Linked DNA regions of Arabidopsis thaliana. The protein of the gene in region 4 interacts with the protein of the main gene of each other region in a pairwise test. Each region holds a gene or a part of one and is shown on either strand. Other genes may lie near its edges. The genes, in order: UPP, AT5G14600, AT1G49580 and AT3G46810.

Region 1 (7,332 bases), 2.7 Mb from region 4:
CTAACCACTTGGATAATCTACACATCCTTCGATTACTTTTACAATATAGCTGTATCAATTATCTTGCATTTGTGCAATTATTATATTGAATTTCAATTGAACCAATTATAAAATTTATTATGTAATTTAGTATTATATATTTTATCAATTATAAACAATTCATACTTTTTGCTATTATATATATAAAAAAATTTTAATTTTTAATTTTACTAATTGAAAAAGATTATATCTAACCACCTAACGACAACTCCTTTCTCGGATCAAGTTTTTTCTTGGTTCTTCTTTTCTCGGGGTACTTCCTCTCGGATTCTCTATGTCTCTTAACTCGGTCTAACCCGCTAAAGCTTAGCTCACATGCGGGTCATAAAATCCGATTACCTTTTGCGAAGTATGACCGAGAGTTGAAAGAAATTCGGATGTTCCTTAGAAACTCGGACCGTGAGTCCTTCTTTCTCGTTTAACTTGGAGTGTTCAATCGTCGGGTTGGAAGTGAATCGGATGATAATCACCTTCCTTCTCGTCTTTGTCCTCCGTTTTAAGTTTTTTTTCTTCCGTGAATTCTTTTTTTCTCTTCCTCTTTCGCGGGACTTAACATTTCGAGTTATCTCCGATCTAGGCTTCCCGATCTTTCACTTCAGCATACGCTATGATATCGTTTCTAAAGTCACTCATTCGTGCTCTGGACGGAGATGATGACGTCTTCGATTTTGCTTTTGTGGCCTCTTCGGTCACCGAGCTCCCTTATTTTGCTACGAGGACAAAGATTGGGAAGAAGAGAATTGAGGAAGTGATAGATTCAGATCTTCAGGGACTCGCCAAATACGAGGAGAGAGCGATTAAAGCTATCAAGCCGAGAGTGAAAGTTACCATTGAGAAAGACATCACTTTGCTACAGAGGGTAAGTGAATCTTTCTTACATCCACAAGACATGGTTCTATGTGTGTTGTTTCATCTTTCTCTAGACTTTTGTTGCTATTTCGGTTTACAAACTTTTGATTGTGGTTTGATCTTTCTCTAAACATTTTTTGCTGTATTTGGTTAAAGACTTTTGAGAATCTTCAAACAGGGCTTAGGACTTCTTAATTGTGCCTGAATTCTCAGACAAAGAATCCGTGTCTGGTTTGTACAGTTTCAGAGATTTGTTACAAAAACTGATGAATGAGTTGAAGAGGAGAAGAGTTAAGGAGTCTAGTCTAAATAAGTTTTCAAGTTTATTGTAATAGTAAAACCTCTATAAATTAATACTCGATAAATTAATAATCTATATAAGATTAATAATTTTTTCCAGTCCCGAGTTGGGACTGTAAAAAGTGACACAAATTGATAAATTAATAAAATAATAATTTTTTTGAAAATCCTATGTAAATATATGATCCCATCAATATTATAAATTAGTAATTGTATAAATATAAAATATATATATATCTAATATATTATATGTAAGAAATTTCTAATATTTTTTTGCTTAAACTCGTATTTGTTCTTATTTGAATTTAGTTATAATATTTTACTGTATCAAAACTTTTGATATTGTTTTATAGACATGATAATTATTTTTTACTTGCAATTGGTTTTAGAAAGATATTCTCTATGATGAAAAATATCTTGTAGAAACTTTTAAAAAGTTACTACATTAGAAAACTCTCTATGTAAATTAATAAATTATTTATTAATTTATTCCTTAATTTGTAGATTTCTGTTTGGAAAGAAATTGCTAAAAATTAATATAAAAGCCCAATGGGCCGTGTAATAAGTAGACCCAAAGTTATTCGGTACAGTAGTGACGACCGGTTAATCTTCGCCCGCGCTATCGTCATTGCAAAAATCTCGAACCAGATTCGGACATCTCGTCGAAAATGGCGTGCTCAATTGGTAACGCTTTCAGGTGTTCTTCTGATACGCTGCGTTTTGCTCCCCGACAACAATGCAGCAGCCGCCTAAACCCTAATCCTTCCTCTTTCCTCTCCTTTAATTCCTCCCCAATTCTCGCACAGGTATCGAGTATATATATATATTTATTCTAATGTCCAAAGCACACTTTTCCAGTAACGCCTTTTGCATATTCAAACTGAATTTTGATTTTCGAATTTCTGGATTATTTTAAAGAATTTGGGTGCTTCTTCTTCGTCACTTTCCCGACGGACTATACGAGCTAGAACAAAAATGGCTGCGTCGGAGGCTTCCATTAACGGGAGCAACAGGATGCTGGTAATAAAACTCTAGGATTTCAATTTTCAGATTTTTTTTGAGTTTGATTTGAAAGTGAAAGATGTGAATTTGATTCTGGTGTTTCAGGTCTTTGTGCCACCACATCCTTTGATCAAACACTGGATCTCTGTTCTGAGAAATGAACAAACTCCTTGTCCTGTTTTCAGTGAGTAGATAAGATTCTTATGAGTATTTCTGCGATTTAACCAGTGTTTGTTGTTAAAGAACTGAATTTTACATCCATTTTTTTTTTTTTTTTTTTTGATTCGTTGGACAATCTTTAGCTCTTAGATTGGTGTTATCTGCTACATTGCGTTTGAATATGAGTTTTTTTAGGTTTGCTACTAGTATAAGTCTGTGTTGATCTTTAAAGCTTGAGTTTTTTTAATTATCTAGGGAATGCAATAGCTGAACTAGGGAGATTACTCATGTATGAAGCATCACGAGAGTGGCTGGTGCGTAGAATTTCACATCTCTATTATTCTTGAATTCTTCCTACCCGTTTTTTGCTTATTGTTTTTTGTTTTTTGCTCTATGCGGTTAAGCCAACTGTTGTGGGTGAAATAATGTCTCCAATGGGTCCTGCTTCTGTTGAATTCATTGATCCTAGAGAGCCTATTGCGGTTTGTTTATCCCTCAAACTCTTCCTGTCTATATTTTCTTTTCGACCTTACATGTAAGCGTTTCTAATTCTTGGTTTTGTCTCTGTGTAGGTTGTTCCGATATTAAGAGCTGGTCTTGCTCTTGCGGAACACGCATCCTCAGTTTTACCTGCTAATAAAATTTATCATTTAGGTTAGTAATCTAGCTATATATCATCTCTTGCCTGAACTTCGGATGTCAAAAATGAAAACTTTTATCAAATAGCTTATTGATGTCCCCGTGCTTCTTTTCTTTTACAGGAGTAAGTAGAGATGAGAAAACACTTTTACCATCGGTGTATCTTAACAAGTAAGAACTTCTCTGCAGCATTGTGTTTGTAGTTACTGAAGTGTTTATAATAACACCTTTGATACATCTTCTTTAGGTTGCCTGATGAATTTCCCAAGAATTCAAGAGTATTTTTGGTCGACCCAGTGCTTGCCACAGGTAAGAAAGTCTTATCATTTTAGCCACCTCCATATTAGAAGTATAGTTAGGGTTTGATGTTCAAATGTACACGATAATATGTGAATGTGAACGCATGACATGGTAATACGAATGTTTCATAGCTAGAAGCGTAGGTTTAGTAACTTAGTAACTTGTATTTTAGGTGGTACCATAATGGCGGCGATGGATCTATTGAAGGAACGTGGTTTGTCTGTTCAGCAAATCAAAGTGGTAAGCATATATATAGGAAACAGCTTTTGTCAGAAATCGAAGTGTTAATTGTTTTGATTTTTCTGATTACAGATTTGTGCGATTGCTGCACCTCCTGCACTATCGAAGCTTAACGAGAAATTCCCCGGGTAATCAATAGCAAAAGATCAACTCTCACCTTGCTTACCATTTAGTTAACTCTCTTTTTACTAAACTGTTTGGCTACTATTTGAAACATTTCAGGCTTCATGTATATGCTGGAATTATTGATCCTGAAGTCAATGAAAAGGGGTAAGTCATTAGGTTCTTTGGCTTTCCATATGAAAACTGGCGATTGTATTTTAATGTCCTTATGTATTTGTCATGAACTAGGTACATAATCCCTGGGCTTGGAGACGCTGGAGACCGCAGTTTCGGGACAGAAACACATTGGGTGAAGTGATACTTGTATGAGTTGTTAAACTTTAACAGTCACAATCGTTAGATTATATATTGTGTCTCTTGTACTTTGTTTTTGATGTGTGATTTCAGGTTCTTGAGAGGGTTTCGATAAAGAGTCAAAATTTCACAAACAAGAAAAACTGAATTCCTCATTATTACAAAACAGAGAACAAACTTGTCAACCATTTTATGTGTATCATTCTCAATTGTCTACCACAAACCATTTTGGGAAAAAGTATGCAAGAAAATCTGAAAAATTCATCCATGAAGCAAACATTTGAACCAATAATAAAAGTTTGTTATCAAATTGAATGAACTTAAGTTACTACCAAACTGAACCAGTATTTATGGTTTGGTTACGTTCGATTCCGGTTACAATTAACTGTCGGTACAATTCTGGTTGAAAAAGTTTAGTATTTCGGTTTGATTTAATTTTGTATACCGCTCTAATTGGATCGGTTTTTATTGCTCTTCAATTAAAAGTTGAAGGGTATAGTAGTCATTCCTATGAAATAAGCAAACCCTAGCTCGCTACTATAAATCTAATAAACCTATGAATTAAGCAAACCCTATCTTTGTCGCCGCCAAACCTCTCTCAGATTCTTCTTCTTCCTCGCAGGTGAGAATTTCTCCGTAGTATCTTAATCTCCTTTCACTGTATTGCTAATTAACGCATCGGAATAATCTAGGTTTCGATTTCAGAATTAGTTATCTCGTTGTGTCTTTTGTTGATTATATATTATTGTTGAATGTGATCAATTATTCTTGATGAATCTCTTAATTCGAGGTTCTATTGCTCATCTGATTAGTTTTTTTGTTTGTTTACTTGCTCAGATCGATTTTTTTTTGAAGCTAAATCTCAAAAATGGAGAACGACGCAGGTCAGGTCACAGAGCTCTACATTCCAAGGAAATGGTATATATCAGCTCTCTTTGTTCTCTGTGTAACGTTTGATTAAAATCTTAAGCTAATTGTCTTAATTAAGTAGCCTAAGCTGATTCTATTGTTGTGTAATGGTAATTTGTTTAGCTCGGCAACAAACAGAATGATCACATCAAAGGATCATGCTTCAGTTCAGCTTAACATTGGTCATCTTGATGCTAATGGTCTCTACACTGGCCAATTCACCACTTTTGCTCTCTGCGGATTTGTCCGTGCTCAGGTTTGTGAATTTCCACTCTGCTAATTACTTTATAATCATCTCCACAGTTGTTATAACAAAGTTCATGATTGTATATGTATATTGACATTATGATTGCATCTGCAGGGAGACGCAGACAGTGGCGTGGACAGGCTCTGGCAGAAGAAGAAGGTCGAAGCTAAACAACAGTGAGAGACAATCTGACAATGTCATAAGCTCTTGTTTGTTTTTTGAGGTTTCGATTTATTAGCTATGTGGCTTTGTCATTGAATTGAAAATGTTAGTTTCTCTTTATGCGAATTCATGTTTTCGATTTTTCTGCTTTATTAAAGATAATTATTAGGCTTTGAGGCCAATGGAATCAGATTCTATCTACAGTCTAATACTCGTCTATATTTCTCTTTCAAATATAACTGTTAGATTATCTATCATCAACCTCTCGGATTAGTGATTTACTGTATGAACATAAGAGATTGTTAATATGTCTGCAAAATCCTACTTTTATTGAAAATTGAATCGTTTACACATTCTCGATCAAAGCTTAAAGCAGTGGAACTTTGTTCTTTTTCAACTTTAAAATTCAACAAAAGACATCTTTTGATTCAGATCTCACCATCCCAAAGCTCTTCAAGTGTTTTATAAGGACTCAACGTCTCATGAACAAACGACGTGCCTTGGACTAACCTAGCCTGCACAGAGATGATTCAAAATCCAAAATACAAGAGGTTACAGTTAAGACTACTCACAGATACGAAATTTGCAGAAATGTGGTTTATTGTTTCACTTACCTGCTCTATCTTGGAAAACTTGTCAAACATTTCTTTTGGAATAGACCATCCCAAGACATCAAAGTTCTCTCTGATTCTTCCTTCATTTGTGCTTTTGGGAAGTATACTATGACCCATTTGAAGTCCCCATCGAAGCGCGGTTTGTGCGGGAGACTTCCCGATTTCTTTAGCAATCATTTCAATAACCGGACTCTTTAAAACATCGGCCTTCACCCACGTTGTTCCAGGAGATCCCAATGGCGAATATCCCTGCCACAATCAACATTCACGAAGTGTATATAAATATGACATTCGGACTCATTAAATGATTTGGAAATGTTTAGTGTTTTAAAACTTACTGAGAGGTGGATCCCTTTGGACTTGCAAAACTCATGTAGCTTATGTTGTTGCCATGAAGGATGACATTCCACCTGGTTTACAGCGGGAGGAACACGAGCAGCCTCCACAAGATCTGAGAGTTTCTTTGTAGAGAAATTACTTACGCCAATGGCTCTTGCCTTGCCTGAATCAACCAGTGCTTCCATTGCTTTCCATGTGCTCGGAATATCGATAGGCATAATGTTCTCAGGCTTAAAGTCAACAGTACCTTTCTTCAACCGAACAGGCCAGTGCATCTTGAAAAAAATATCAAATGAAACAAATCAAAGTATAAGCAAGCATATGTATAGTTTCAAATCCAGAGATCCGGACAATTCAGGCTAGATATTGAAGAAAGGAACGGATCTTGAAAACTGTTAGAACTTATTAAAAAATCAGCATTTGTTCAAAGAAGTCGTGCTTACGAGATACAAATCAACATAATCAAGCTGCAGATCCTGAAGAGTTCTGTTCAATGCGTCCTGTACATCCGGAGGGTCAAGATCAGTCAACCTGTGCTTGCATAATTTGTAGATTTTAATAGGTTAAGAGGCTTAAGCAAACGAGGGAAACTGAAAATGCATAAAAATGATAGAGATGCAGAAACTTCATGAACAAAATACCAGATTTTTGATGTGATGAACAGCTTCTCACGCTTCACTACGCCATCATCAAACAACTTCTTCAGAACTTTCCCAATCTGCAGGTTAAAAAAAGCTTTCAATTTCTCCATCAAGAAAAACAAAAAGCCACATTTCAAATGAACTTGTAAACAGTCTATAACAAATAACTCCATTAATCCTACATAACTTAAAGCTAGTTTAAGAAAAAGATACACAAGACAATGTGTGCAATTGTCATTCCTAAATATAAATTGGTTAACCTTAGTAAGAATTACATAAAACAGCCAATCGAGTAAGAACGATCATACTATATACTGTTCTATATAAAGGCAAATCAAGTAACGAGCCGTCAAAAGATGAACTATATGAAGCAAACTATGGAAGATACAGATTCGGATCGGTGAATTTTACCTCAATTTCATTGCCATATCTTGAAGCACAATCAATATGCTGATATCCAATCTGCAGAAAACGA
Region 2 (7,269 bases), on a different chromosome or scaffold from region 4:
ACAGAAAATGGTACGGCAAAGACAAAGAGAGATATCGACATTTCGGCACGAAGAAAAAAACGAAATTCGAAAAATGTAGGTCTACGAAAAAAAACAAGAACCTGATTTCACTGTCGAGAGAGTATGAGAATGAAGAGCAAAGGAAAAACCAAAGAAGAAGACCTAAATTCCTCTCTATAACTCTACGCCACAGAGAGAAGAGGAAACGCAGAAAAGAGAGAGACTGGAGTGGAGAAAAGTAAGGAGTGAAATCCGTGCCGGTTCGTTTCCAGCTACATTTCTTTTCTTTTAATATAATATCGAGGGCCCTCTCAATTCCTTATTGGGCTTAATCTTCTCTTAGCTTATCTTAAACATTTATTTGGGCCCATGTTATTGTAGTCCCTTAAAAATCACTCTATACAGATTGAATCAAGTTTTTTTTTTTTAACATCTGATTCATTCATTGATATGAAATCAGATACAATAGTTGGTCATCCAAATTACAAGAAAGTTATACAAACATATCCAAGCAGAATTGCAGAAACAAAAGCATAACTAATTAGGATTTAGGACTATATGAACAATGAAAACTTATATTATATGGTGCTTTTTGTTGTCCTAAATCTCTATCTCTCTATATAAGTTTGGTTTCTTTTTTTTAGCCAAAACCTTCTGAAAGTAGGCCATAATTTCCTCTATATGTTTTTACTTTAGAAAAACAAAATTATGTATAAAGAAATTCCAATCTACTCATATCATTACCGATGTGAATGGCCTAAGCCACAAGCTAAGCTATTCACATCTTAAGACTTAAGCTTTGTAAAAGGCTTTATCAACTTGTTTTACAAGATTTGTTAACTCTTTACTCTTTAGTATGTAATTATGTATTAAGGTTGGTTATGGTTAAATTTGTGGGTTTGATATGATCTCTATCATCTAGTTCGTTCGTTTACCTTCAGATTAATATATTAGAGTTGGCGGGAAGAATAAGGTTTCTTTATTTATACGAACGATGAAATTCAAGTACATGAATACCAAATTAAAGAATGAATGAAACTACCAAATTCAGATGAATTCGGACAAGATTTACGAAAACGAAGAAACAATTTTTCTTGTTCTCAACTTTCTACATATCAGAAGCCAAACAGGCGAAACTTTGTTTATATCGGTCATTGACTTCTCTGACGCATCTCCTTGAGATTTCTCCAAAGGTATCTTCCGCTAGCCATATCAACGAACGTCCATAACCCATTATCCATCTTTCTCTTGAAATCGAGTCCTTGTTTTTCCTTGGCTTCGGCTTGTAATAACTCGTCTGAGAATAGTTCCGGCGTAGAATTCACCGTCCTCCACGCGATATATCCTGCGAGTACCGCCGAGAAGAACACTAATACAAATCTCAAGGGACACATAATTTCTTGATGGATAAAGGGAAAATTATAAGAAGAGGAAAAAAGAATTTGGATTTTGATCTCAGGCTTTCGAAGAATGGATCTCTAGGGTTTGTGAATAGACAATTGTAAGAGAAAGAAAATTAAACAGACGTTTTCGATATTTATAGAGTGCATTACATGTCTCCTTCTCCCATCGAGAAAAGGAAACGCGTTTCTATTTATATATTACTTGTAGAACAATTTATCTCTAGAAACTACTATTTATCATATTTCAAAATTTTGGATTTTGGTTTTGTCATTACCAAATTTCGAATTTTGTATTCTAGAAACAAATTCACAGCAATTATTTTTTTAACAAAAAGAAAGCGTAATAAGACAAATCATGAAAATATCTAATACATGAATATCATAATGTAGTTGGAGAATTTGGACTAAGCTAGACATTGGAGTCTTGCAAACGTTAAGTAACCGGTGTGACCTCTTGCTTCACTACAAGGCCGAGCCATGACGACTGAAGAAGCATTAGAAGAGTTGTCCTGTGAAACAGTGTCGTTTTCGTTTGAACGGTGCTTTCTCTTGCAAGGCCTCATTCCTTCATTGTCCTCCTCGTGGCTCTCACCAACCATGCTACTGGTATCCATTTTCACTTCCTTCACTTCATATGTTCTGAGAAGCACCTCAAACGTTCTTATCTCTGCAAAAAACAAACTCATCATGAGCAAAAACCGGTATAAGAAAGAATGAAACTCTCAAGGAAATAAGGACTTATATGCCTATGACAGTTGGTTTTGATTCCCCTGACTTTCCAAGGCCAAAGAATGTCAAACTATTTCTCTAAAGATACTTATCTACTTAAAGCAATCCTTTCGACTTATTAATCCAAAGATGTGTGACCATAGAAAGTCGATGATACATATTGGAAAAAATTGTAGACTAAAGAACAGAACTTCAGTCTATACAACATGATTTTAGTACTAGCCACTAGGATTTGAAAATCGAGGAGAGGTTCAGTCCCAAATTCACTACTTTAGTACTTTGATTTTTAGGATCCTTCCAAGGCAAGAGCATTCGGATAATGTGTAGATCTAGAGCTCTTTTAGTTTGAGTTGGAGAAGAAAGTAGAAAGAGATGTTGTAAATCAGAATAAACTTACCAATGAAATCTGATCTGAGGACTTCACAAGTCCGTTGTACTTGCTCGATGCAAGGTGAGAAAGAGCATAGAACTCCATCCTGCTTTAACATCTTTGCTGCAGAAGGAACCGCAAGCCAAGGCTGTGGAAGGTCTAGAAACACAGAATCAGCCAAACCTGACAGTTTCTCAGGAAAACCCTCTCCTTGAATGTCTCTAACCTCTACGGTTACTAAACTACTTATGCCCGTCTTCTCAAAATCTTCCCTGTTGCAAAGTAAAGTAAAGGATGAATAAATACTATAGCTTCAAAAGAAAAGCACAACGAGATAGCTAAAGAAAACGAAAGTTTCTACCTTGCAGAGACAGCTCGCTGCTCATGGAAATCAAATGAATAAACGTGTCCAGTTGGAGCCACAGCTCGAGCAAGTGAGGTCGAAAGCGAACCACTACCTGTGCCTGACTCAAGAACAACACAGCCAGGCACGACTTCTAGATACATAACCACAAAGCTAATATCCGCAATGTAAAGAATTTGAGTCCTGTGGCTTAAAACCAATGTCCATAGTTCAGGAGTAGGAGCCAACAGGTACACAAATTTACCCTTGTTGCTGAATACTTTCGTCCCTAATGGTTTCCCAATCCAATCCGAGTGCTTATACACACCAAAACGGTTCTGAAGCACACCGTCTTTACTTACTTTAACTGGTTTCATCACATCATGTCTTTCGTAAACAATAACTAAGTCCCCATCTTCAATACACCTTTTGAATGAAAAGGCTTTCTTTGACTCAGTTGGTAACATCTTGAGATTATGAAATCACTTGTAGATTGAGTTCCAGCTTCTGCTCTGCAATTCCAAGTCTCATTGTTAATTACTAAACAACACACTTTTTAACTCAGAAAACAATGAATTCTCACAAATCACGATATATATTCCCAATCTAGCTATCAATCCAAAGCTACGCATTCTACGCAATATTGCACAGCCAATCAAACACATTGAGATTCAAAATCATTGTAATGAATTAGCTTAGATGCACAGAAGAAAAACAATTTAAAGTTTGATTAAGTTAAAATTTAAGAAAAAAGCTAGAAAAATCCCATTCACGGATCCAAAAGTCCTAACTTCAACGAAGAGACACAATTTTTTAATACAAGCGGGTAAAAAACTGGAACCAAACACAATTACCAGCTTCTATAAGATAAAAAGCTGAAAGAAACAGTTTAACAATAGCGAAAAACGACAGAAATACTCACAGAGGAATAATCACGAAGAAAGCTAAGAACTTGAGCTGATAATGGAGTTTGGGTAATAATGTTTTGTGAGAAGGAAGAACAATAAATCTGACCAGACAAAGAAATAAAACCTCTAAGTAGGGTTTTCGCTTTCCTTTTTTCAAATCAAATCGGACATTGAGACCAACCGGACCATATTACAGATTTGGTACCTTCGAACCGGCAAATCCGGTTTGGGTTTATATAGACAGAAAAATTTACTGGGCCTTATGTTGGGCCTACTGAAATAATCTATACGGCTCTCTTTTCCTTCTTGTTTACCTTGCCTTTTCGCCGGAATCGTCGATTATTAGAGAGCTCAGAGCACACTTTAGCAATAAACTTGCCGACCGAAAGCTGCAGATTCACTGATTCAGTGATCGAAGTTGAGAGTTTGGGTTGAGGTCGGAGTCTCGGATGCTGAATAAGCTCACGCACGGCGTTTTCACGTACCGTGCCAGCCTCACCGCCATGTTATCTTCTTCAACCTCTGCTGGTTTATCGTCTTCGTTCGTTTCTTCGAGATTTCTTAGTTCCGGTATATTCTCTAGTGGCGCTTCGAGGAATCGCGTGACTTTTCCCGTTCAGTTTCATCGCGCATCAGCTGTTCGATGTTTTGCTTCTTCAGGCGGTTCTGATAGAATTCAGGTTCAGAATCCTATCGTTGAAATGGATGGTGAGATTCTTTGCGCAATCAGTGTTCCTTACTTACATTTGATCGTAGTTTCCAGATAATTGGTTGGATTGGTATAAGTCATTTGTTTATGTTCTTACTGAATTTGGTATCTTTGAGAATGTTTCTAATTTGTTTATATTTTGTGGAAATTCAGGCGATGAAATGACGAGGGTGATATGGAGTATGATAAAGGAGAAAGTAAGGATGTAATTTATCACCAAGTCTGCAACAGTTGGTTCATTTTTTTTTGACAGAGCTCACATGTCTGATTTCTTGTCTTTGCAGCTTATTCTTCCTTATCTGGATTTGGACATTAAGTACTTCGACTTGGGGATTCTGAATCGCGATGCTACTGATGACAAGGTTACAGTTGAAAGTGCAGAAGCAGCTCTTAAGTAAGTGCTATTGATTCTTTGCATTTTCTATGGTTTAGATTCTTTTAGTAACAGAAAACATTTTAATTTCTATGTGAAATAAGCTGATTTCGCGCTTAAAACTTTTATGTTTGCAGGTACAATGTTGCTATCAAATGTGCCACTATAACTCCTGGTATGTGATGTCCTTCGCAAATCGCAACACATATGCTGCTTGTTCCGATCAGAGGAAGCATTTTTACATCTTCTGTATGTTATTTTTGGCAGATGAGGGTAGAGTGAAGGAGTTTGGACTGAAATCAATGTGGAGGAGTCCTAATGGGACGATCAGAAACATTCTAGATGGTTTGTCTCTGTATTGTCAAAAAACAATGCATGTTTGCTGAATAGGAATATCTTGGTTAAATTGCTTGCGACTTTTTATTTTATCCTGTTAGCAGGTTCTTTTACAATCTAGTATCTACACATTTCTTACACAGTGTTCTATATTTTCTAGGAACCGTATTCCGTGAACCTATTATGTGCAGCAATATCCCCCGGCTTGTTCCTGGTAAATTTATTTGCCTTGTTATGAATCTGTGTTAGGATCTGTTTTGAGATACCAAATGAGAACTCAAATCTTTTGTCTTTATAGGTTGGGAAAAGCCTATATGCATTGGTAGACATGCCTTTGGTGACCAGTATCGTGCCACTGATACAGTAATTAAAGGGCCAGGAAAGTTGAAAATGGTTTTTGGTAAGATCATACCAAACTATATTCATTAGACAATGAGGATTCTTCAATCATATAGTTCAGATTCTAAGTGGATACATCTCTTGTCTAATTAGTCCCAGAAGATGGAAACGCACCTGTGGAGCTAGATGTATATGATTTCAAGGGCCCAGGTGTCGCACTTGCTATGTACAACGTAGATGAGGTCTGTCTCTTTTAGTAACTGGCTTTAGTTTTGGCATGGTTTTGGTTTCTGACAACCATGCTGGTTTTGTGACATGCCAGTCAATTAGAGCTTTTGCTGAGTCATCTATGGCGATGGCATTAACTAAGAAATGGCCATTATACTTGAGCACCAAGAACACAATTCTCAAGAAATATGATGGCAGGTTTGTTTTTATCTTCTTGGTGATTTGAAGTCTGGGTTTCACTTTTCAGCAAGCGAGCTGCTTTAATATGTGGTGGAACAATACAGATTTAAGGACATATTTCAAGAAGTTTATGAGGCGAATTGGAAGCAAAAGTTTGAAGAGCACTCAATCTGGTCCTTTTTCTTAAAAAATTGTGTTCTGCGTCCTTTTTCTTTACATATTCATTAAAGGTAATATGTGAATAATACTGTTGGTTTAGGTACGAGCACCGGTTGATTGATGACATGGTGGCTTACGCAGTCAAAAGTGAAGGTGGCTATGTCTGGGCTTGCAAAAACTACGACGGTGATGTTCAAAGCGATCTTCTTGCCCAAGGTATAAATTAAAAAATATAGTTCTTAAAATTATTATTTTTGTATCGATACAGCAACTAAGATACTTAATGCTTCCTTTCTTTATTCTTTTCTAAATGTAGGGTTTGGCTCATTAGGCCTCATGACCTCCGTTTTGGTTTGTATCGTTAACCGAAAGCCAATATTCAATTTTTCTTTGCAAATGAAAGTCTTGATATGATATGTTTTGTTCAGCTGTCCGCTGATGGGAAAACACTCGAGTCGGAAGCGGCTCATGGAACAGTAACTCGGCATTTCCGACTGCACCAAAAGGGACAAGAAACCAGTACTAACAGCATAGCCTCAATATTTGCATGGACACGCGGCTTAGAACACAGGTCTCTTGCCTTTCACACACGGTCTACATTACTAGTTAACTGAGTTCTGCATTTCTTTATGCATTTACACTGACAACGTTCTTGTGTCTTGTAACCTAGTTTCTCTTGATTTTCATTTTGATGGATTTTTTTTACCCTTTTTGCTTCTCAAGGGCGAAACTGGATAAGAACGAGAAATTAATGGATTTCGTGAAGAAGCTCGAGTCGTCATGTGTAAACACTGTTGAGACAGGGAAAATGACCAAGGATCTTGCCCTTTTAATCCATGGTCCCAAGTAAGTAGTCTTTCCTTTTCTCACTAGCAGCAACTTTTCTATTACAATCTGGTCATGTGCATGAAATACGAAAGAGCTTAATCTGTCTTGAACTTTAATGTGAAATCAAATCCAAACTGATCCTGTTCCAAGCTGATGAATGTGCTGAAAACTCTAATTAAGTTGTGTATTTTAATAGAAAACCATATAGAAGCCAAACCGATTCATACTGGATTAAGTTATAATGCTGTTACTGTTCTATTATCGTTCTTGATGGTTTAATAAAACATTTTTAATGCAGGGTGAGTAGGGATTTGTTTTTGAACACGGAAGAGTTCATTGATGCAGTAGCCTCCAAGCTCAAAAC
Region 3 (8,116 bases), on a different chromosome or scaffold from region 4:
ACTATAGGATTTGCTCAATGTTTCGTGATCAAGCATAGACTCTTCAACTTCAAGGGCTCAGGCCAGCCTGACCCAAACCTAGCCGCTTCCTCAGCACTTCTCTCTAAGCTAAAGGACACGTGTCCTAACGTGGACTCCTCAGACTCTAAGCTCGCTGCTCTTGACGCAGCTAGCTCAGTCAAGTTTGACAATGCTTACTACGTGAACTTAATGAACAACATAGGACTGTTGGATTCTGATCAAACCCTAATGACAGATCCTACGGCTGCCGCCTTGGTGAAGTCGTACAGCGAGAATCCGTACTTGTTCTCGAGGGATTTCGCAGTTTCAATGGTTAAAATGGGGAATATCGGAGTTATGACCGGAAGTGATGGAGTAATTCGAGGAAAATGTGGATTTCCAGGTTAAGTTATATATAGACTCTTCACAAAATCCAAATCAGTCTATTATATATCTAGAGCTAATCTAGCTTTAATGAGGAATCAAATAAACCAAAGTCTATGAATAAAATATGTTTTATATATATGGTGTAAAAGCGTCCTTATGTATCAATATATATATATATGGATCCCATAAACAAAAATACTTGGACTTGTATGTGTGTTACGTTTGTGTGTAATGGAAAATGTATTTGTCTTTGTATTTTTATATTCCAAAATTAAGTCGAACTCCCTCACTTGAACGAATATAAATATTCTTAGTTCTTGATTGGGGTTTAACTAATGATCATAATTTTACATCTTCTTCCGAAAATCATGGTTCTTTTTGTTGATATAACATACATTTTCTTAAAGTATTGAATATACTAAGTCTACATAAATATACACTATCTATCAAAAGTCAAAACAAACAAACATCTTAGCGTGAAAAAAGAAAACATCTTCGAAATAGTTAAAGTCTTAAAAATTGCAACAATTCTTAAATACACTAACTTTTTGTTTAAAAAAATAAAAGAAGATCTTAATTCTTAATGATGAAAATACATAGTTGAAAGAGAAATGATGAAAATACATCCATCAAGCCCAAATACAAGCAAACCCCATTTCATATATTTCCACTTTAAATTCAGACTTGATGCATATATTTGTTAATTAGAAAAATACGTTTGAACATATATACATTTATTTAAATTTTGCGAAAAAGAAGCAAATAAGCATTGAATGATGATATACATCCATCAAATCCAAATGGAAGCAACCAACTTTGTAGGTATTGTGTTTGTTGATTACTGATTGGAAGACATAAATTTTAAACCATTAAAGTTTCTCCAACGACTTCAAGAAATTATCAAGATTAGAGTTAGTGGAAGAATGAGAAATACTTCATACTATAAGCTATTTTAATCTATTATACATATATAGTCTAAATACAAAATAGTAGTTAGGTTACGTACACCATCATGTTAAATGCAAAACACAAACAGCCAATAGAGAAATATCATATAATTCATGCAAATAAACTAAACATTATCTATTCCACAAATGAGATTAATTTTTTATTTAAAATATATACATATAACAACTCGAGGTTTAGTTTTAAGCGAAACGTATATGTGTGAAAATTAGTTAATGAACCTTATTTTTTCTTCTTTTATAGCTGGTTATTTCTTAATATTCGTGTTAATAACATTAGTAAAAACACAGTAAAGATTTTTTTGTCTAATATGATAAGTAATAATTAATTAACGTTACATGTCCGAGACGACCGCAAATTTGGGGCATACCTCTTGGAGCATTCGTCATTGTCTCGTTGATGTGTTTTCATATAACGTTTGGATAATTTTCAATTTAATGTCAAGACAATTTTGAATGCTAGTTATTCTGATCTCAAAAGAAGATGCTGACCAAGATGTTTATCTCTGATGTCATGCCTTGCACAATTTCAAACCAACCTACTCCTCTTTCTATATATACGTGGAGCCAAGTTTGTCAATCTTATGATTTGGTGGTACCATAGAGTCGAGTTGGCTGGTTCTCGCAAGGAGTTTCAAAGAGAATTTCAACACATGGACGGTTGGTGTTTCACGATGAACTAGCTCAAGTGATCAAATGTGTGGTTAGAGTCACACTCAAACTTGTCTTCTTTTTGCATAACTAAACGAGACATAAGATAACTTATTCTTTGAACTCTCTCGATTGAGATTGGCATAACACTCATTTTCTAACGGCTTCTTCTTTTGATAATATCAAATACATTCTTCTTCAACTATCTTTCCAAACTTCCAGTTGACCGAATATAACAGGAAAGGAATGAACGAACACAGACTCAAGCATACCACATTATTGACGTCTAATCGACGTAAAGATTCACCACATAATTCACTCCTTCTCAGATTCTGACACTTCTCACCTTTAAAACATTATGCAAACATAGTTTGGGGATTGTCGTTAGTTGACTCTTAGTTATTTAGTATGTCAATTTTTGTTTGTTCCAAACTTTCAAGAAAAAAAAAATGAATTTGATTTATTTTTTCTATCAAAGATATTCGTAAATAAAACAGATATTTCTTCTTCTTTGTGGTAACATATTTTTTGCAAAAAACTTTTACGAAAGAAACTTGTAAACTCTAGAAGCATATAAATAAAATAAAGTATATATTGGTTAGAACCTAATTACTAGGCTAAAAACTACAATTCATTATGATATTTTTTAATTCCAAATCTATACAAAATTATTTCTTACATAAATATATATGTAGACATGTATTCAATAATTTTCATGATAAAACATAGGAGTATTTTTTACAACTAGAAGGTTACATGTACTTAATTATCCTTAATTGTACCCACCAACTGTCAACTATATATACATACTCTATTTTTTTTACAGCAGCTATAATTTTCTTTATTTAAATTTTGTAAAGGTTCTGTTACTTCATTAAATTCAATTTACACAAACTTGTACAAAAAAAAAATGATCTCACAACCGTTGAAAAAATGACCTCATTTAAAAAATATAACAAAAATAAAATATGGGACATGAATGACAAACATAACAGATCGGAAATATATTTAAAAGACTGCAATAAATTAAGGTCATTAATACGTGGCCGGAAGCAACTAATTTACTAACCAATGCACACATCTACTTGCTTCGTCTTCTTCTTCCTTCTTCTTTCTACCACCATTTTCAGATTCAAAATTCAATTCTAACAGTTTCACTTCCCCTGCTCCTCTCTCTCTCTCTCTCTCGCTCTCTTTCTCATGTGATCTCTCTCGCTCTCTCTTTCTTCTCTAAAAGCCAAAACTTCGATGGCATTACTGTGATTTTCCTCATAAAGTAAGCTCCTTTTTTTCGCCGGAGATTATGGGAGGCTGTACTTCCAAACCCTCCACTTCCTCCGGCAGACCTAACCCTTTCGCTCCCGGTAATGACTATCCTCAAATTGACGATTTTGCCCCTGACCATCCCGGTAAATCACCAATTCCTACTCCTTCCGCCGCAAAGGCCTCTCCTTTCTTCCCCTTTTACACGCCGAGCCCTGCTCGCCACCGCCGCAATAAGAGCCGCGACGTCGGCGGAGGAGGAGAGAGCAAGAGTTTGACTAGCACGCCTCTCCGTCAATTACGCCGTGCGTTTCACCCTCCGTCTCCGGCGAAACACATACGGGCGGCGCTACGGCGGAGGAAAGGGAAAAAGGAAGCTGCTTTATCTGGGGTGACGCAGCTAACGACGGAGGTACCGCAGCGTGAGGAGGAAGAGGAAGTAGGGCTTGACAAAAGATTTGGTTTTTCTAAAGAGTTTCACAGTAGAGTAGAGTTAGGGGAAGAAATTGGACGAGGACATTTTGGGTACACTTGCTCTGCTAAGTTCAAGAAAGGAGAGCTCAAAGGTCAAGTGGTTGCTGTCAAAATCATCCCAAAATCGAAGGTAACAAAACTTGAGTTTAGTTTCTTGATCTTGATGATTGCATACTCTCCATTGTAGTGTTAGCTGATAGAATTGAATGTGTTTTGATTCTTTTTTGGCAGATGACAACTGCAATTGCTATAGAAGATGTGAGAAGGGAAGTGAAAATTCTACAGGCTTTATCTGGACATAAGAATCTGGTACAATTCTATGATGCATTTGAGGACAATGCAAACGTCTACATTGCAATGGAGTAAGATCATTATTTTATCATAACCTTAACCATTTCCTTGTTTGATGTTGAATTTAGTTAGGTTTTAGTTATGAATTTGGTAAAAAGAACCTATTGTTTCATAATTGGATTTAAGTAGTTTGAATTTGCAGGCTATGTGAAGGTGGTGAGCTTCTTGACAGAATACTAGCAAGGTGTGTGTCTGTGTGCTACTAAAGAGTTATCGATACTTATGGCCAGAGATTGTTCTTATTTTATAAAAAGATTCATCGTTTTTTTCTACAGGGGAGGGAAATACTCAGAGAATGACGCAAAACCAGTGATTATACAAATTCTGAATGTGGTAGCTTTCTGTCATTTCCAAGGAGTTGTTCATCGAGACCTTAAACCAGAGGTGAGGCACAATTTTGAACTGGAAAGAAGATTATGTTTTACTTTTATGTGTAGAATGTTTTCTGATCGCTGCTTCATCATCAGAACTTCTTGTACACTTCCAAGGAGGAGAATTCTCAGCTTAAAGCGATAGACTTTGGCTTATCAGACTTTGTCAGACCAGGTTCATCATCACACATTTTACTATGTCACTATTTCTCCAGTTCTTTTTCTTCTGGTTAGTAAACTAAAAATGGTATTTTGTGCCCCTTTTTTTGAAAGATGAGAGACTAAACGATATAGTGGGAAGTGCATACTATGTAGCTCCCGAAGTTCTACACAGATCATATACAACAGAAGCGGATGTGTGGAGCATCGGAGTCATAGCATACATTCTACTATGTGGTAGCCGTCCGTTTTGGGCAAGAACTGAATCCGGAATTTTTAGAGCTGTTCTTAAAGCTGACCCGAGTTTCGATGAACCTCCTTGGCCCTTCTTGTCTTCTGACGCTAAAGACTTTGTTAAGCGGTTATTGTTTAAGGATCCCCGGCGAAGAATGTCAGCCTCCCAAGCCTTGAGTCAGTCATTTTTAATTTCACAGCTCTTTATAGTTTTATGTCTCCTGTCTTTTGGTAGTCATAAATCACCAAATTCAGTTCCTATTTACTTTTTTCAGTGCATCCTTGGATCCGAGCTTATAATACGGACATGAATATCCCTTTCGATATCTTGATCTTTAGGCAGATGAAGGCGTACTTGCGATCTTCTTCATTACGCAAAGCTGCTTTGAGGGTATGTTTTAGGCATTCTTTTAAAGTGTCGAAAAGAGCATTGAAGATTACTTTCTCACTATTATGTGCTTTCTTTTCACAGGCGCTATCGAAGACGTTAATCAAGGATGAAATTCTTTACCTGAAAACTCAATTTTCTCTTCTCGCACCAAACAAAGATGGCCTAATCACAATGGATACCATTAGAATGGTTTGTGACACTATAACTTCTTTTATATTCCTTCCTCTTGAGAAAAAAAGAGAAACACCGTAGTAATCTAATCTGTATTGCATTTTTTGTTTCTGTTTAAACAGGCACTTGCAAGCAATGCAACAGAAGCAATGAAAGAATCTCGGATCCCAGAGTTTCTTGCTTTGGTAAATGACTGTGTTCTCTCGGATTTTGATAAATGCTTTAACAATTTGGTGTTAATGATCCTTCATTGACTGGCTTTTTACAGCTAAATGGACTTCAATACAGAGGAATGGATTTTGAAGAGTTTTGTGCAGCTGCTATAAACGTTCATCAGCACGAGTCGCTTGATTGTTGGGAACAGAGCATTCGACATGCTTATGAGCTTTTCGACAAGAATGGAAACCGAGCTATTGTCATCGAAGAACTTGCCTCTGTAAGTTAAAGCATCTGTCTTCAGCTTAAATACAAAAATATCGAAAAACAGATCCTCTAAAACGACATGCTTTTGAATTGCAGGAACTTGGTGTTGGACCATCTATACCGGTACATTCAGTTCTACATGATTGGATCAGACACACTGATGGAAAGCTTAGCTTCTTCGGGTTTGTTAAACTGTTACATGGAGTCTCTGTTCGAGCCTCGGGGAAAACTACCCGGTGAAGATAACGAAAACAAACATGACCTAAGCGAAATCGTAAAAGAAGATGTCAAAACCTTTACTCTAAATCTTGGATTGGTATTGGAAATGTAATAGTTGGTCAAAGACTGTACAACAAATGAAAAGTTTCTTACAAGAGCAATTCTAAAAAAAAGATTGTTGTAATAATATAGTAACCACAGATACTTTGATACTCTATGTGAAGTCAAGAAAATGAAAAAGAAAATTCCAAAAAGATTTGATTTTTGTCTCTCTTTCTTCCCAATGATTATGGAATCAGCGAAATCTTGGTTATTTCCGGTTTGTTACTGTGCTTTAATTTGTGAGATCTGAGTCGGTGTAACCAGTGAAAACCGGTTCTAGTGATGGAAATAAATTAGAATTTAGAAAACAAACCAAACCGATTTTCTTCTCCCCCAATTTTATATTTTGCTTCTCCTCTCGAGTTTGGGATTCGAGTTTAAGGAATTAGGGTTTCTAATCTCTCTCTCTTTCTCTCGAGATTTTTCTTCACTTAGTTCTTGATTCTGATTAAAAGTTGATCTTATAGTTCCGGTAACTTCGTTTTCTGGGTTTAATTTTCGATTCAATCTTCATCTCCTTGATCCACAGCCATGACTGAGGTAAATCAAAATTCGCATCTTTTCTCTCCAAATCTCTTTGAATTACGAAACCTCTGTCTTGTTTCGTAATTGAAATTGATCTTGAGTTTGTTTTTTGTGTTATTTCAGTATTGGGTAAGTCAAGGGAACAAATGGTGTGAATTCTGTAAGATATGGATACAGAACAATCCAACAAGTATTAGAAACCATGACCTTGGTAAGCGTCACCGAGAATGTGTTGATAAGAAGCTCACTGATATGCGTGAGAGGAGTGCAGCCAAAGACAAAGAGCTCAAGAAAAACGAAAAACTGCTTCAACAGATCGAAGCTGTGAGTAATCATTCTTGTTTCTTTTGCCAGTGATACTTATTCTAACGTATTTATTTCTGATTCCATTGTTTATATCTCAACTTGTTTCAGAAAGCAACTCGTAGCTATCAGAAAGATATTGCAACTGCTCAGCAAGTAGCTAAAGCAAACGGTGCACCAGAGGATGGTACATCCGGTAAGTATCTCTCTCTATGATGTCATTAGTATTTGTTCTTCGACTTATAGCTGCTATATTCAGGGTTGTTGCTTAGCTTTGGATCTGTTTGTTATAGACTTAACATTACTGAGGTCGTAGAGTATGTGTGAATTGGATTTGTGAATTGCTTTCATTGACCAAAAGTATGAACAAACCAAGCAGCGTCTGATTCTTCGATTGTCATATTACACATCTTTGCAAATGACTTATAAGTTTTAATGCCTATAACCCTATAGAGAATCATCACGAAAGAGCGAAACGGTTGCTTCTTTTGAGTCACTCTCAGGTTCTTTCATCATTTTGATTGCCATTTTTCTTAGCCTTTTTCATTTATACATATACCATGTAGTAACCATATTGTTATGGCAGATTGGATGCTCGACAGTGCTTCAGGCTATTATTACAACCAGACCAATGGTCTGCACTATGATTCACAGTCTGGATTCTATTACAGTGACTCAATAGGTATGTAATATATATCGAGTTTTTTTTATTTGTTTCCTTGCAAACATGATTGTATACAATTTCGTCGTGTGTATGCTTACACGGGTAATGAAACAGGACATTGGGTGACACAAGACGAGGCCTACGCTGCGGTTAAAACATCATCAGGAACCAAAGTACCTCTCGTGAAAAAGCCTGTATCTTCTTCAGGAGCTGGACCAAGTGTGGGGAAACCACCTGGCCGTCTTGTCACAGCTTCTTTAAATCCTAAAAGAGCTGTGAAAGGAGCGGCTTCATCTGTTGATCTTGGCAACAACAAGAGAAAGAGGCAAGATGAGAAACCGAAGAAAGTATCTGCAGAAGAGAAAGCTGCATTGAAGGCAAGAGAAGCTGCTAGGAAACGAGTTGAAGATAGAGAAAAACCATTGCTTGGTCTTTACAATAGACCCTTTTGATGCATCATTGG
Region 4 (7,038 bases):
ACAAACCAAATGCACATTGAAGTCGCATATTGAACAATGATAACCAACTTGCAATCCACTTATACACAAACTACAACAAAACCGTCCACATTTCAGGTTGAGCTTGAGAGGATGTTGAGGATGGGAAGGGTGTTTGATCTCTGGTACCGACTCGACGCACTCCTTATGGAAGAGGGTATCACAACCTACCTCATTGCAAACATAGCCACCGTAAAAATAACCAAAAACACTGCATCCTTTACAAGTGTCCATACAAATCCGATCAAAGATGAACAAAGGATGCTCGTGAACTGGTAACTCTACCTTTTCCATCGCGGAATGATATCCAAATCAACCTAATCTCTTGTGATTTGAAGGAAAAGGTGACTTTTTTTTTTTTTTTTCTTTTTTTTCTTAAATGGAATGAGATTTTTAATTGCTGTAACGATTCAATCTCTCAACTCGATCGAAGAAAATAATTTATAGACATACATCCATACTTTCCGGGAATTATTCATTTTTAATACTCCAAATAAAAGTCGTCTCTATAATAGTTATCTGTGTTATTAAATATTTTGATCGTACTCATAGAATTATAGAAATTCCATACAACTACTTTATAGTTTATGTTATTATGTATAATCAATCATCCACTTGAGTAGATCCAAGATTAGTGATAAGATTTTTTTTGGCCCTTTCATGACTTTTATTTTCAACGTACGAGCTAGCTAGTTGGCTACCAATTTAATCCGGGAGAACAAAACGATCGTCATCTTGCACATATATAGGTTTTGGTGTGAGTATTGGGTTCCCGGAGGCGAAATAGCGAAGAACTGTGCTTTCTTGAGATACAAGCAACACAAGAGCAACGGGGTTTTACTTGTCGATGCCACTAGTTTCTCTGCTGTTTCCGTGGTTGCAGATCCCACTAGAGACAGCTAATTCTGCCGATTTTAATTCATTAAAAATACACAATAATACTGTTATTAAATCACTGGATCCTAATAGTACGTTATAGACTTATAGTCTGCCCAATTACAACTCTAATCTTAATTATATTAACTTCCACTTGTGCGGATCCTATGTTTGTGACGAATGTGTTATTTTGCCTTTTATTAAATTGTAGAATATTAATACAATTTGCTAGAGCCTAGAGCAAACTCCTTGAAAACGGAAAAACCATGAATCTATTGTTATGATGAAGCTGCTTTGGCGGTACATGTTTGGCGGCTTACGTAGGGGAAATAGTTTAAGAGAAGAACGCTACTTGCTTGTTAAGCAAGAAACCTCCGATAGCAACAAAAAAAGAAAGTACCATAAGATTAAATTTATCACTGCTTTTGGAAGACAGTATAACTAAAATTGTTGAATAAATTAGTTTGATCACTAGTTAATTATATAAAAAGCACTATACTGATTTGATCAAATTAAATGCAAGTATTTAAAAAAACTATAATTTATGTAAAACATTCTTTTATTCACGGAGGTTGGCAAAAGAGAAAAACAACGATAGAAACTGTACATTAAGTGTTCCCACAACATTACTATCATCATACACTACAACTATTGAGAACAAATTATGACCACAATAGTTGTGAGTGTTCCCACAACACTTATTACAACAAAAGTTTCCTGTATTTGAAGAATATAAGGAAGCTTGCATCCTGAAGAACACCTAAAAAATTTCTTCACTCGGGAAATCAAAACATAGATGCCATTTTTATAATTTTAAATATTGGGCTACCAGAGGTGAAACAGCGGAGAAACCAGAGCATATATTCGGTGCTTTCTCCATATACAATCAACATCTACTAGTAAAGAACACTATGTTTTAAGTGTTAGTGTTCTTAGATAAGAATCCATGAATGGAAGTACCCTTTAGTGCATGTCGGATACATATATGTATAAATTGTACATATAACACTAGGGGATTCATATATCGACATGTGAAAATGTAGAGAATGAAAAGAAAGCAAAGCAAATTTTGGGTAAAAGAAAGATGATAACTGTACAAGATAGAATGCAATTCAAAACCAAAACTTTTATTATGATAGTAGATAAACAAAACGATAATATAACAAGAGAAAAACTCTCCCAAGAGAACTATCCCTTGGCCTAACCCGATAAAATCCTTCAACGCTCTCAATTGTTTAGATAGGTTTCACAAACAAAACCTATCATTATTAATAATAAACGTAAAGTAAAATACTCTTTGAAAAGTAAATAAGAAAATAGAAAGAAATAAATAAACCAAGTGCGCTACTAATAATACGACGACTCCCAAGGATTTTTATGACAATCATTAGAACAAAAGTAAACATTAACACCATCCTCGGAGGTTTCAAGAATGCAAGGGAGTTTGCATCTAGTGTGACACCTGGAGCAAAGTGGTCTACAAATCGAAGTGTTTGGCACCACTTTGTATAAGCTTACTACCGCGGGCGGTACCATTTTGTATTCGCTAACTACGGTTGATAATGGTCCTGGCATATGATAGGAGAAGTCACCCACAACGCAAGAAACATGTAAAGTGACCCCACAAGCATCACATGTATAGAACCATGTCTTTGCATCTACCCTTTTTTCACATACGTCACACCAGTATTCACCATCCACATTATTTTCACCATAAGACAAGAAAAGTGGATGGTCATCGTACCTTTGCTTCATTACTTTTTTTGGTAAAGTTGCGCACCTGAAATCCAACCTAAAGTCACACTCTTCACAACATAACAAATGCCTTCTTGTTATGTGACAGATGTCGCACTTCGCAACCGCCGAAAAGGTGAAGAACTTGTAGTATAAAGGATGTGGATGCCTTTCATGAACAAATGGTTCAAATATCGAACCACATCGTATATCCATAACTTCGGTACGCGAGTTATACGCAATATGCAGATTATACGCAAATCCAGTGAAATGTTGGAGACAAAGACTACATTTTCTTCTTAGGCGTGAAGAATCCTTGCTATCGTCTGTTTGTAGAGAGAAGGGTATGTTGCACAAAACATGCCTTTTCTTCCTAGGCATATTAGCACATGTTTGATGTAAAATAAAACCGCATAGCTCACAACTATAGAACGGATCAGTATTGATCTGGGAGACGCATGCTTCACAAAGCTTGCTTTCATGGAGATTTATACCATCATTGTTGAATATTAAATCATGATCATGACTCATGTGCTTTATTGTGTTCTCATCAACCACCTCGAATGGCGCAATTTCTTCTTCTTCCGGTGTTCCTTCTAGTTCTACCATGTCCCATACATCTTTTCTAGTTGCACATAATGAATGAACAACGTAACTAGAACATTTCGAGCAGGAATAAGCCCCGTAGAACCCATCCACTGTTTTGCGGCAAACTCCGCATTTCAAATTCCCTTGTCCGAGATGACAAATGTAAGAGATGCGATGATCATGGCGGTTGATGTTTATGATGCGGGGTAAGTCGATACAACCTCGATGAATCATGAAATTGCATTGAAGACAAAAATAAGGGCTTCGGTCACCTTGTGTCCCACAAGCATTGCAAGTAAAATCAAGAAGTCTTGGAATGAGGTGAAGTTGATGCTCGTGGGTCTTCGGAGTAACAACAACTAGTGGTGGTGGGTTTCCCTGACAAGAAATGCATATGCTGAAGTTACAAACATCACAGTGATAAAGCTCATATTTTTGGCCTTGTTGATCTTCAAACTCTCTTCCGCAAAGAAGGCATTTATGGTCGGCGTAGCTCGGGGGTCCATTTTTGAGATATTTGAGAGGGTGTTTGAGATGAGAGTTGTGGCGTGCATCTGTGGTGAAAAAGAGCTCAAGGCAAGTCACATGAATGTAAAGTTTACACCGACGACATTCATAAAAAGGAGCGCTATCTCCATTGCCGATAATGTAGTTACACCCTTTGCAATTGCCAGTTTCTGCAAGCCATGCTGTTTTGAAAGGTTTAAGAGGATGTTCATGCACCTTGTAATTCTCAATACTAGAGAGTTGTGGCTGAAGTGAGAGTGGTGGGGACTTCGCACAAACCAAATGCATACCAAAGTCACATATCGAACAAAAATAACCAATTCCCACCGGCCGTTCACACAAATGACAACGTTGACGTCTATTGCCAAGCTTAAGCAGATGCTTGGGATGGGCATGGTGGCTGATCTCGGGTTTGGACTCAGCGCACTCCTTATGGAACACCGCAAAACACGCCAACTCATTGCAACGGTAGCCTCCATAAAAGTAGCCTTCACGTGAGCACCCGGAACAACGGCCAAAATAAAAGCGTTCAAAGGGTAACAAAGGATGGTCATGAACCCGTAGCACCACTTTTTCCATGCTGAATTCACTAAATTAATCAAACCTCAATCTCTCTTCTCTAGTGATCTCAATGTTATTATCAAGAAAAATGAATTTGTTTTCCTTTCACAATTTACATTGATGATCTAAGTAAAATAGTTTATAGATATATCCATATATTTTAAATTATCACTAGGCCACTTGAAAAATATTCTTTTGCCGATGTCAACTGAGAGACAGCTATGTCTCACCATGTCAATCGATACTTTCCGAGTTTAATTCATTAACAATACTAATTAATACTTTGTTAAATAATTTGATCCTAACTATACGGTACTTTGTCCAACCATTACTCTAATCTTTATTAAACGTAGACTATTTGAATTATCTTCCACTTGTGCGGATCCTATGTACGTGACGAAGGTGTTATCTTTGGCCTTTATTAAATTGTAATATCTTTCTACAAGTTGTTAGAAGCAACCTCATTGAAAACGACAAAGCCATCGATCTGCTGCTGGATCTTCTCCAGTTTAAGTGTTCTTCCAGGATTTAGGGTTTCAACCAAATGTGCTCCAGCAGGTTCTCCATTAGGGTTGTCTCATCGTCATTGTTTGCAATGTGACAGATAAAACAAAGCCCTTTAAAAAAGAATACAGCTACAACTGCTACTAACTAGTGTTTAGAGAACCCTCGGTTTTACTAAGAATCCATGAACAAAAACGTCCTACAGTGACAGCAGTATTCTGATACATACACATAGAGTATATATACACTAGAGGATTTGTATCTACTCTGACATGTGAAATAACAGAGAATGAGAACAAAGCAGAGCAAAAGTTGGGTTGAAAACGTTTGCTTATTATAGCCTAAAATATATATTTGCAATTGCATTACTATGTGTATACTTTCCATTTGTTTTGGTTAGTATAGCCTAACCATTCGACACCATATACTCATAGTAAAACGTTTTCAAAGTGAGAATGGCTCTCTATGATACTTTATTAACAGTTTATTAACGGTCAGAATAAATTTTATACGTTGATTATTAACATTTTAATTTAAAGTGTTGATTTCGTAGGGCATGGTGATCTGAATATTTCAATAACGATAACATAGACTATAGAGTATGTAATGAATTGAACTTTAAAAGCATCGCCAGCGTGGGGTGATTAGAATATAGTATTATCTTTTTAGGTAAATATATATGTTAAGGAGTGGTCGTATACATGCGATGATTGTGGAGTCAATTAGAGAAAACCACAGCCACAATTACAAATCTGCTGCTAATTAGTGTCTAGAGAACCCTCTGTTTTAATAAGAATCATGAACTGAAGCATCCTGCAGTGAGGTTCTGATACATACATATAAAGTATTATATACACTTAGAGGATTTGTATCTCTGACATGTGAAAGAACAGAGAAGGAAACAGAGCAAAAAATTGAGTTGAAGAAACAAGATCATATTCAAAAGAAGTGGCAGAGATGATATAACCATGTAAATATATATATTGTTGCTTTTGCAACTTCGGAGACTACTCGTGGAGGTTCAGAATTATCCGCCACCAACATCCGTCGTCGCTTTTTCTCCTCCCATTCTTCCCATAAGATTTGAATCAGGGTTATAACTTAAGAAGGACTGCAAAAGCAAATTTGTGAACTTGTAAGAGCTCAGACGAGCAACAACGCTTTCAAAGCTCAAAAAAGATGAAACATGGAAACTGCGAAACAAACTTTTAAAAGCTCTTTGACTCGCTGTAAGTCGAATGAGCAACTATCAGAATCGAAAATTTAAGAAACATGAGATTCGATGAAAGCTAGTTATGGACTTATTATGAGATGCATGAACTTTAACTATAATATTGCAGATGAAACTGATATAGCTAGCTGAGATTCTGAAACAAAGAGGAAGTTCAACGGTTTTTGAGAAACACTCAAATCTGTACCTCTTTCTCTTCAAAAGAACCGCGACCTCCGATCCACAGGCTTAAGAATTTGGAAAGAGCACATTAAACTTTCGTCGACACTCATCAATGCACCCGCATTGTCAAATTCACCACAGTAGTTTGGAGCAGAAAACATAGTCACAAGCTGTCTATCAGCAAAGAACTCATACCCATCCTCTACAACCTGTGGGAGCATTATAGGTTCTTGAGCAGCAGATTCGATTTCCCAAACAAAAAAACTAGAGGAAACATTTATACAATGTACTAACCTGGTGGGCACGACAGACTAAATCCATATCATTCTTTATTAAAAACTCAGCAACTTTGTCAGCACCAAAAGTGTAGGAGACACCACGATCATTCATCCCCCAGCCTTTGACATCTTTACTAGGATCAGACCAAAGAAGGTCACAGAGCAAACCAGCGTCTGGAACATCAGTTGGACGCTCTATGTTCTTAATTTGTTCCACATTGATCAACTCAGGAGATAGTCCACCATGCATACAAAGTATCTTTTCATCTATGACAGCAGCCACAGGGAGACAGTTAAAAGTATCGGTAAACACTTTCCAGAGCTTCACGTTGAATCTTCGTTTACATTCGTCATAGAATCCGTAAATTCTGTTAATAGATGCACACTCATGGTTTCCTCTTAAGAGAAAAAAGTTTTCAGGGTATTTGATCTTGTAAGCAAGCAGAAGACAAATAGTCTCCAAACTCTGCTTTCCGCGGTCAACGTAATCTCCTAAGAATAAGTAGTTTGCTGCAGGAGGGAAACCTCCATACTCGAAAAGCCTCAATAAATCTGAGTATTGACCATGAATATCACCTG

What was found.
Region 1: the proteins of AT3G46810 (region 4) and UPP interact in a two-hybrid assay, tested with the Arabidopsis thaliana proteins (one large-scale study listed by BioGRID).
Region 2: the proteins of AT3G46810 (region 4) and AT5G14600 interact in a two-hybrid assay, tested with the Arabidopsis thaliana proteins (one large-scale study listed by BioGRID).
Region 3: the proteins of AT3G46810 (region 4) and AT1G49580 interact in a two-hybrid assay, tested with the Arabidopsis thaliana proteins (one large-scale study listed by BioGRID).

The regions. Positions count from the first base shown.
Region 1 is NC_003074.8:19,953,531-19,960,862, reverse strand, and holds UPP (uracil phosphoribosyltransferase), read left to right. Parts: upstream 1-1,787; 5' UTR 1,788-1,856; coding exon 1,857-1,994; intron 1,995-2,013; exon of another isoform or gene 2,014-2,106; coding exon 2,107-2,208; intron 2,209-2,295; coding exon 2,296-2,374; intron 2,375-2,604; coding exon 2,605-2,663; intron 2,664-2,753; coding exon 2,754-2,831; intron 2,832-2,921; coding exon 2,922-3,003; intron 3,004-3,110; coding exon 3,111-3,159; intron 3,160-3,235; coding exon 3,236-3,297; intron 3,298-3,460; coding exon 3,461-3,528; intron 3,529-3,600; coding exon 3,601-3,656; intron 3,657-3,750; coding exon 3,751-3,798; intron 3,799-3,879; coding exon 3,880-3,949; 3' UTR 3,950-4,273; downstream 4,274-7,332. Other genes in the region: AT3G53910 (malate dehydrogenase-like protein), read left to right, coding at 417-438, 639-898, 963-1,007; AT3G53890 (Ribosomal protein S21e), read left to right, coding at 4,814-4,863, 4,978-5,110, 5,216-5,281; AKR4C11 (NAD(P)-linked oxidoreductase superfamily protein), read right to left, coding at 5,692-5,778, 5,878-6,126, 6,216-6,491, 6,660-6,747, 6,858-6,934, 7,269-7,319. UniProt on the Arabidopsis thaliana protein: Uracil phosphoribosyltransferase (UPRT) that catalyzes the conversion of uracil and 5-phospho-alpha-D-ribose 1-diphosphate (PRPP) to UMP and diphosphate.
Region 2 is NC_003076.8:4,703,561-4,710,829, reverse strand, and holds AT5G14600 (S-adenosyl-L-methionine-dependent methyltransferases superfamily protein), read right to left. Parts: upstream 3,940-7,269; 5' UTR 3,768-3,939; intron 3,358-3,767; 5' UTR 3,313-3,357; coding exon 2,864-3,312; intron 2,775-2,863; coding exon 2,530-2,774; intron 2,071-2,529; coding exon 1,808-2,070; 3' UTR 1,667-1,807; downstream 1-1,666. Other genes in the region: AT5G14602 (methyltransferase-like protein), read right to left, coding at 1,152-1,394; AT5G14590 (Isocitrate/isopropylmalate dehydrogenase family protein), read left to right, coding at 4,203-4,461, 4,616-4,659, 4,747-4,856, 4,973-5,010, 5,103-5,180, 5,332-5,385, 5,470-5,571, 5,664-5,752 and 7 more.
Region 3 is NC_003070.9:18,348,305-18,356,420, forward strand, and holds AT1G49580 (Calcium-dependent protein kinase (CDPK) family protein), read left to right. Parts: upstream 1-3,019; 5' UTR 3,020-3,306; coding exon 3,307-3,870; intron 3,871-3,971; coding exon 3,972-4,102; intron 4,103-4,233; coding exon 4,234-4,275; intron 4,276-4,366; coding exon 4,367-4,475; intron 4,476-4,558; coding exon 4,559-4,637; intron 4,638-4,735; coding exon 4,736-5,032; intron 5,033-5,130; coding exon 5,131-5,246; intron 5,247-5,327; coding exon 5,328-5,435; intron 5,436-5,539; coding exon 5,540-5,602; intron 5,603-5,685; coding exon 5,686-5,853; intron 5,854-5,936; coding exon 5,937-6,080; 3' UTR 6,081-6,330; downstream 6,331-8,116. Other genes in the region: AT1G49570 (Peroxidase superfamily protein), read left to right, coding at 1-408; AT1G49590 (C2H2 and C2HC zinc fingers superfamily protein), read left to right, coding at 6,693-6,701, 6,810-7,010, 7,101-7,185, 7,576-7,671, 7,768-8,105. UniProt on the Arabidopsis thaliana protein: May play a role in signal transduction pathways that involve calcium as a second messenger.
Region 4 is NC_003074.8:17,236,231-17,243,268, forward strand, and holds AT3G46810 (Cysteine/Histidine-rich C1 domain family protein), read right to left. Parts: upstream 4,394-7,038; 5' UTR 4,303-4,393; coding exon 2,242-4,302; 3' UTR 2,001-2,241; downstream 1-2,000. Other genes in the region: AT3G46800 (Cysteine/Histidine-rich C1 domain family protein), read right to left, coding at 1-312; TOPP5 (type one serine/threonine protein phosphatase 5), read right to left, coding at 6,217-6,390, 6,476-7,035.